Mus musculus: one gene and its partner. The protein of the gene in region 1 purifies or fractionates together with the protein of each later gene. This does not show direct contact. Links are inferred from orthologs where the notes say so. Each region holds a gene or a part of one and is shown on either strand. Other genes may lie near its edges. The genes, in order: S100b and Iqgap1.

Region 1 (4,483 bases):
AGGCCCACCCTGTCCCTTCTATGTCCCCATAGGCTACAGAGCGAAGTTTCCAAGACCATTGGTTTCTGGTTGGGTTTGGCCAATGAGAAACTAGCAAAGATGCTAATGCAAAGCATTAGGGAATGACTCCGGGTCTTCCTGGTGGCTATTCCCAATCCCAGAGGTCTCCAGGATATACCATCAGCTGATGGATTTAAGAAAGACACTAAGATGACTAGTAACAAGTAAATATCTACCTGTACACACGCACACACACACACACACACATCACTATCAGTGAACCATTTTTAAAATGCAGTAACAGCTTCCTCATACAGCAATAATATCAGGGGTTAGGAGGAAAAATGCAGGTACTTCCAAAAGATTCTGAGGAACAAGATTAAGAATGTTCTGGCTAGTTTTATATCAGCTTGGCACAAGCTAAAGCCCTTTCTCAGAGACAGGAACCTCAATTAAGAAAAACGCCCTCATAAGATCCAGCTATAGAGCATTTTCTTCAGTAGTGATCGATGAGGGAGGGCTGAGCCCATTGTGGGTGGTGCCATCCCTGGGCTGGTGGTCCTGGGTTCTATAAGAAAGCAGGCTGAGCAAGCCAGTAAGCAGCATCCCTCCATGGCCTCTGCATCACCAGCTCCTGCCCTCGGGATCCTGCCCTGCTTGAGTTCCTGTCCTGAATCCCTATGATGATGATCTGTGATGTGGACGCCAAAGCTGAATGGCCCTTCCTCCCCAACTTGCTTTTTGGTTATGGTGTTCATCTTAGTAATAAAAACCCTAACAAAGAGCTTATTTTCATTTGAATTAATATATTAGTTTAAGATGTATAAATAAAATATGAGTGAGGTTTTTTTGGGGGGGGATGGGGGACAAACCAAAAATATATATATAAAAAATAAAGACTGTAAAATTCCTGTACCAAGTTTTTGAAAACTACCAGTGAAGTGACCTTGCAGAAACACGTACTCCAAGGTCATATGGTTCTCCTGGCATCCTGACAGGGCGACGGAGGCCCAGCCCTGAGTTCTGTGCTTGCTTCATTGGCCTGGCCTCAGAGTACAGCAGCTTCTTTGTGAACAGGCATGCATGCCTGAGAGAAGCAAACAGCCTTTGCAGTGGGCACCTGATGCCACAGCCACAGCCCGGGGATTCAGGGAGGGCCGCTCGATTATCTGAGGAACTTCATTAACATTAAGCCATTAAGGGTGGCTCTGGGATCATTTTAGAAACCAGCCTCTTAGGCAGAGACATTTGGCAGCTCCTAGCCTCGAGTTCTGATCCTTAAACCAGAACCTGCACTGTCATAATTAAACAAAGGTTCAAAAGTCATTTCCATGTTGAACATGTTACATTTTAGAATACAACTTTCGTAGCTTTTTACATTTTTATTAAGGATCTCCCAAAAGAAACGAAGGTTTTCGCCCTGTATTGGCTCTCTGGTTCTTTGGTTTGTTCATGTTTTCCAAAGACACCTGAAGTACCTCATATAAGAAGAACAACCCAGATAGACAAAATGTAACATTCTCTCTTAGTCTCTTAACTTGAGTTTTTAGTTACTGTTGGTCTTTTAGCTAAAAGAAAATCCTATGTGTCTGGGTGTTTTGCCTACAGGTATGTCTCTGTAGCGTGCATGCCTGGTGCCCGCAGAGGCCAGAAGAAGGTGTTAGATCACTGGGAACTGGAATTACAGTCAGTAATTCCATGTGGATGCTGGACTGAACCATCTCAACAGCCCCGGTTACTGTTTTTGTTTGTCTTTTTTTTTTATGAAAGAAAATATGTTTAGTCCCATGGGGAGGGGAGGGAGGAGAGGGGAGGGAAGGACAGGCACAGAATTATCTGCCCTTTTTCCTTTTTAGATTGAGATGGGGGTCTCACTGTCCCCAGATTCTCTTCTAAATAATGATCTCCTTGTCTCTACTCTCCCAAGGGTTGGCTCATACCCAGCACAGTTATTGATTTAAAAAAAAAGTCTTCAGAGATTCTGTGTCATACTGATACTGCTCAAAGTCCTAACGGCTGGGGGAGGGAGAGCTAAATGATCTTTTTGTGGATAAGGACTAAGACTTAAAAGTAAATGGTGAAACACCATATCCCATAGGCAAAAAATAAATAAATAAATAAAAATTTATTTTTTCATGACTATATTAAAAATTCAAAAATCTCCCTATTCTTTCAACTAAGGAAGCATTGGTTTGTTGTCTGCCTTCTAAGACAAACGGATGAGTCTTTATAAAGAAACACAGGGCTGGAGCTTCTTGGGATGGCACTGCCTGTAAGGTGAGGGGTCCCCACAGAGACCACCCTTCCCCAGGAGGGATGACAGGAAAGTCAGGAGCCACCCCCAAACCTTCATCTCTCTGTCCCAATTCATAATGATTTGAAAAGTTTCAACTGCTTTGGATTTTTCTTTTTTGAGCAGTGTCTGGAGATGTAGCTCTTGGCGTTTCGAATAGGAAAACTGGAAAAGCTCACAGGGGTGCTCCAGGGACCCCGGGAAAAGTTGCCATGAAGAAAGGGGAGCTGCGGTTGGAGATTTGGGGTAACCCTATTCCAGGAAAGGAAATCCTTCCCTTAGGACTCAGAGAAGACGCACTGTGCGCCATCTCCAAAAACATCGGCAGTCATTCTGAAGTTCTAACTATGGCCTAAGGTTTCCCTGGTTTAATGAAAACAAAACCAAAGACAATCCCCCCGCTGTAACACAGACACTGCATAGTCAGTGTCAGCCGCAGTCACAAGGAAACAGTAAAGGCAGCCTAATCAGCAGCTCTGAAATGCCACCAAATGTCCCCAAAGGTCTCTTAAAAAAAAAAATTCTTAAAGCTCAGTTCCCATTCTATCCCTGTCACCCCTCACCCTCCGAGGAAAGAAAAAAGCAGGTTTTCTCTTGGGTCCTGTCAGTGGCTTTCTCACCTCCTGGTCACCTTTGCTGCTGGAGTCCTCTCTGGCTTCAGTGTCCGAGTAACAGGAGTGTAGACAGAACAGCTTCTTATTCTTCCTGCAGAGAGAACTGGGTGTGGGCTTGGCGCAGTCCACTGCAGGCTGAGGCTGCCAATGGGGGCCAAGGATAGGGAGGAGTTAGACACCCAGGCCTGCATACAGGGCCCCATTGAGTGGTACCCTGGGGATCCACTGGGCAGCCACAACTGGACTTGATCTAGAAAGAATACGGGTCTGTTGGGTAGGAAGTGTAGAGTCAGCTTCTCTGCACCTTTTAAATGTATTACATGAACATTGGCCCAGTTCCAAAGGCAAGGCTGGGGTTGGGAAGAGGAGAGAGACAACGTGGGTGAATTGATTTAAACAGCAAATCTGCAGCCAAGAACTGGAAACTTCTCATGCTGAGTGCTGGAGACTGTGTGGCCCTGACTGGCTTCTAAGGAGGCCTCTTGAACATCTTGCTTGTCTGCCAGCTTCCTGGTCCCCTCCTGCAGGTATGCCATGCTGGGGCTGGTGATGCTGGGTAGTGGTTACCCCCAGACTCCTCTTTGAGCCCAGTATTCTCAGGGACCAGCATGCAGTAAGTTAGTTACATACTTAGTACTTGTTGCACCTAGGGAAAGACCTGCCAGCTCTTGTCTTGGGGCTCTCTCTCCCTACCCTGGTCAAAGGTTATGAGTTGTCTGAGCCAGAAATGCCTGTCCTGTGCTGTGCTCTTTTTGCATAGGGAAGAAATGTTGCACCTCTTGTCAAGGCACAAAATGACCCCAGAAAGCAGTCTGTTCCTAACTGCCTATCTTCAGCAGCACTACACCTGAGCTTCAAATGGCATCAATTGTGCGCTCTTGCCCAGAAATGAGCAGTTGAGCTGGAGAGATGGCTCAGAGGTTAAGAGCATTGGCTGCTTTTCCAGAGGTCCTGAGTTCAATTCCCAGCAACCACATGGTGGCTCACAATCATCTATAATGAGGTCTGGTGCCCCCTTCTAGTGTAGAGGTGTACATGCAAGCAGAACACTGTATACATAATATCTTTTTAAAAATAAAAATAAAAAAAAGAAATCAGAAGTGAGCAGTCCTTTTGAATAATCACACAGAAGCAATGGCCCAAGCTGACCAAGCAAGAGAGGATAGCTTAGTCACACTTCCCTTTGCCCCTCGTGTTCCAAGTGTCTGTGGGAAGAGCTACATGACAAAAGACACCCAAATATCACAGAGACCAAGGGGTTGACTAGACATGTTAGGGCTCCAGTAAAGCTTCTCCACCTTGAGGAAAGGGGGCAGTGTCTCTTAGCTTTGGGGCAGAGGTATAAACTCCTACTCTGGTTCCTCCCTATTACAGGGGGCAACTCACCATTTATCTACATGAGATCAAAGCCACTGGTTCACAAAGATTAGGTCCCCTACTCTTCTTAGTCCCCAGTAGACAATAAAAGGGAGACTCAGGGAGACCATGATAATCATGACTGGGAAGGTTCCCTCACTTTGTGAGGTTGCTCAGGGTACTGGATGATCAAGGCATCTCTAACCCCTCTCTGGCCATT
Region 2 (3,811 bases), on another chromosome or scaffold:
GAGAGACTCAGGAGAAGGTATGATGGCTCCCCTACATTTTGTTGCTAAGTGCTTATCAGGGTGTGACACATGATACAAGACATCCAGATCACAGCTTGTGCAGAGGAGCCTAAGTTAGCTAAGCTTCCTGGATCCTTCTATTTATAAACAAGACAAGCTCCTGCCTCGAACTATTCCTGGGGGTCGATCTAACATTGCTGGGGGTCATTTCTGTTTTCTCAGCAAACTGCCCTATGATGTGACTCCTGAACAAGCCTTGTCTCATGAAGAAGTGAAGACGAGGTTAGACAACTCCATCAGGAACATGAGGGCCGTGACAGACAAGTTCCTCTCAGCCATCGTCAGCTCTGTGGACAAAATCCCGTGAGTGCCATCAGTTGTGACTCCAAATAAAGCCTGGCTGGTGGCATACTCTGTGGCCTGACCTCACTCCATTTTGTCCATCCCACAGTTATGGGATGCGCTTCATTGCCAAAGTCCTGAAGGATTCCCTGCACGAGAAGTTCCCTGACGCTGGTGAGGACGAGCTGCTGAAGGTAAGACTCTGAGAGCTACCGGGTGCCTGCCCTCTGCTGTCAGATGCCCAGTGACCACAGACCAGCAGGAAGTGCCTGAGTGTCCTCCACTGTGAGCCTCACGAGCAGCTGTAACTAGAAGACGGTGCCTTCTAAGCAGATAGTTTCTGTTCATCTTCATCTTTAAAGGCACTGTGTACACTAAGTATAGGTAGTGGGAAGTTTTCCTGAGCCCTCTTTTCTCTGGAGCATTGCTCCCTCTGCTGGTGGCCAGGTGAATAGCAGCGAGCGCAGTGCTCTGCTGCGGATTCCCTGCTAACTCTTCTTACTTGGCTATACTCCCTCCTACTTGTGTTTTTACCTTTTAAATCTGAACGCTTCTCTCTTCTCTCTCCTAGTTCTGTGCTTTCCTACAGTGAGGCCTCGATTCTAGACTTTCTGTCCAGGTGAATTCATTTTATTTTTTTTCTGGAACTCTAGGGGAGATTCCATGATTGTCCTTGCGTTCCCCTGTGGAAGACATGTGTGCTGAGTGAATCTCATTTCATAGGCATGAACGTGGCCTTTGCAGTCTGTGGCATGTGGGCCGTGGGGGTTAAACAGACAGTAGCTCATCTAAGGACTTACTTTCCCTGTGCTACATGGCTTCCAAAAAACCCACCTACAAACCCCACAGAGGTGGTCGACATCAGCCTGGGCTGCTGCCGTAACATATGAACTGAAGGCGTCCTGGAGCGTTGGATCACATACCTTACAGTGCTATTTATATGTTCTAAATCTGTCCCTTTTTTCATCTCTGGTGCTAGTTTTCAGTTCTCTTCCCCCCTTCACACATCCCCCAGTTTATTTGGAATTTTAGGTCTTGAGGTATATGTGTGCATGTGTGCATGTTGCTGTATGCTCTTTGTTTACTTCCTCACAGGATTATATCTTCTCATTTTCATTGCTAGCAAAGCCAGGTGTGGTTTCCTCAGTGGGCTGCTCTTTAATGCCGTGCTTCTATTTCAGATTATCGGTAACCTGCTTTACTACCGATACATGAACCCAGCCATCGTCGCTCCCGATGCCTTCGACATCATTGACCTGTCAGCAGGGGGCCAGCTCACCACAGACCAGCGCAGAAACCTGGGCTCCATTGCCAAGATGCTCCAGCACGCGGCGTCCAACAAGATGTTTCTGGGCGATAATGCCCACTTAAGCATCATTAATGAGTATCTCTCGCAGTCCTACCAGAAATTCAGGTAAGGGACAGAGTAGACGACTCAAAGGTCTGTAGGTGTGTTTTCATCTGAGTGGTTAACCTTCTCCTCACTTCCCCAAGTCCTGAGTTGCAGGATGTGAGTGTGTGTATGCGTGTGCATGTGTGTGTGTGTGTGTGTGTGTGTGTGTGTGAGAGAGAGTATGAGTGTGGTGTGTGTGTGTGTGTGTGTGAGAGAGAGAGAGAGAGAGAGAGAGAGAGTATGAGTGTGGTGTGTGTGTGTGTGTGTGTGTGTGTGTGAGAGAGAGAGAGAGAGTATGAGTGGTGTGTGTGTGTGTGTGTGTGTGTGTGTGTGTGTGTGTAAGGCTCAATGGCTCCAGAAATGGGTGCGTGCATCAGGAAGATTCTCATATGCAGTAGATAGTAGTATTTGATATAAAAGGAGTGTCTGTGCATTAAGCCCATGCTCACTATAATCAAGAACTGCAGAGTGCTCTTGATATTTGGAAATTAACACTTACTTTTGAATGTAGTGCCTGGAGCAGTTCCTTAGAGGTGAAGCGCACAGGTGTGTGAGGGCCATTTGAAGTTGTGCTTGAATGCTTGTTGTGGGTGGAAGCAGAGCTGGCAAGAGAACTGTCTCAGCATCCCCAGGCTGCCGGGCAGGAATTGAACAGCAAACACGTGGCCACTTTTCTAGACTCCCACTGTCGTGTGGCTGGTTTGTCTGAACACAGCACTGGAGGGGTCTGTGTGCCCTTTCCTTAGCTGCCCTGCCAATGCCACCTGCTGGTGTTTACTTTCAGACGGTTTTTCCAAGTGGCTTGTGACGTCCCAGAGCTGCAGGATAAATTTAACGTGGATGAGTACTCTGACCTAGTCACCCTCACTAAGCCAGTTATCTACATCTCCATTGGCGAAATCATCAACACCCACACTGTAAGTGCTTCCCCTTAATTGCTTAGCTGCATCCCTCTGCCCTTAATGACTCCCTGGCACCTGCCTCCTCTCTGATGGACGGCCAGGCATCTCGCCTTGCTGTGATCTTAACTGACACCACAGCGCCTTGGCTTTTTCTCTTCCTTTGCTCTGCTGCTCTTTGGTGGTGCTAGAACTCAAATCCGGGGCCTACTGTGCACTAAGTGCTCTGCCCCTGAGCTGCACCCCAGCCCTGCTTCATACTCAAAATATCTACTGCTCTGCAAATTACTCCTAAGCCTCCTGCCTCAGAATCATCCACACTGACACTGAGAAGTGATGTTTGCCAGCCCTGTGACAGGTATCCTGATCCACAATCCCTCGGAATGGACTCCCAAAGTGCATTGTGAGCACAGACGTAGTGGCTTGGTGAAATGCTCTCTCTTATACCAGCCATTCGCCTTACTCCTCTCACATGACCTAGAACACCAGCTTCTTCCTCTCTGCCTGTGGATTTTTCTTTTGGAAGCTCTCTGTATAGACTTTTTAAACAGTTTCCTTCTCCCTTTGGGGACATGTAAATCAAGAATTACATATATGATGATGTATGTACATGTTTGATGGCATTTCATGTCCTGTCCCCTCTGAAGACATTACCAGGGATCGTAGCATGCCTGGGGCTTTGTTGAGTGGCAGGAAGATAATGGCAGTGTGGCTCTGGGTGCTTTTTCTGAGTAAGAAGATACTGCATGTTGGCAGAGTTTAAAACCCAGCACTAGGAAAAAACAAAACAGCTAGCCAAAGCGACCTTTGTCCCTGGGACACTGAGAAAATCCCAGTATATCGCTGAGCAATTCAGTATCGTTGGATTGGTGCTTGCCGGGTGCAGTGATGACTTTAGTTTGCGTCCCATGCTTTCTTACATGGGAGCATTGGATCTTTTTTGACCAGGCCAGGAGTTTTACAACACGAGCGGTTGGTTCTGTGAAGCCCAGTGTGCTGCTCAGGGCCTCACGCTGTTTACTAGGTTAGCTTGTTTGTCCTCTGGATGTGGCAGTTTCGTTGTTTGGTGTCTTTTGGTGGGGACAGAGGGTTGAGGGTGAAAGTGGGACCAATCACTGGTTCGTTACAGCTCCTGTTGGACCATCAGGATGCCATTGCTCCAGAGCATAACGACCCC

The links.
Region 2: the proteins of S100b (region 1) and Iqgap1 purify together in Homo sapiens (co-immunoprecipitation; 3 studies listed by BioGRID and IntAct, with this or other methods). This does not show direct contact. The link is inferred for Mus musculus from reciprocal best matches to the Homo sapiens genes S100B and IQGAP1.

The regions. Positions count from the first base shown.
Region 1 is NC_000076.6:76,252,389-76,256,871, reverse strand, and holds the start of S100b (protein S100-B), read right to left. Parts: upstream 3,037-4,483; 5' UTR 2,914-3,036; intron 1-2,913. UniProt on the Homo sapiens protein: Small zinc- and- and calcium-binding protein that is highly expressed in astrocytes and constitutes one of the most abundant soluble proteins in brain.
Region 2 is NC_000073.6:80,726,794-80,730,604, reverse strand, and holds part of Iqgap1 (ras GTPase-activating-like protein IQGAP1), read left to right. Parts: intron 1-222; coding exon 223-363; intron 364-451; coding exon 452-536; intron 537-913; exon of another isoform or gene 914-961; intron 962-1,523; coding exon 1,524-1,756; intron 1,757-2,519; coding exon 2,520-2,652; intron 2,653-3,763; coding exon 3,764-3,811. UniProt on the Homo sapiens protein: Plays a crucial role in regulating the dynamics and assembly of the actin cytoskeleton.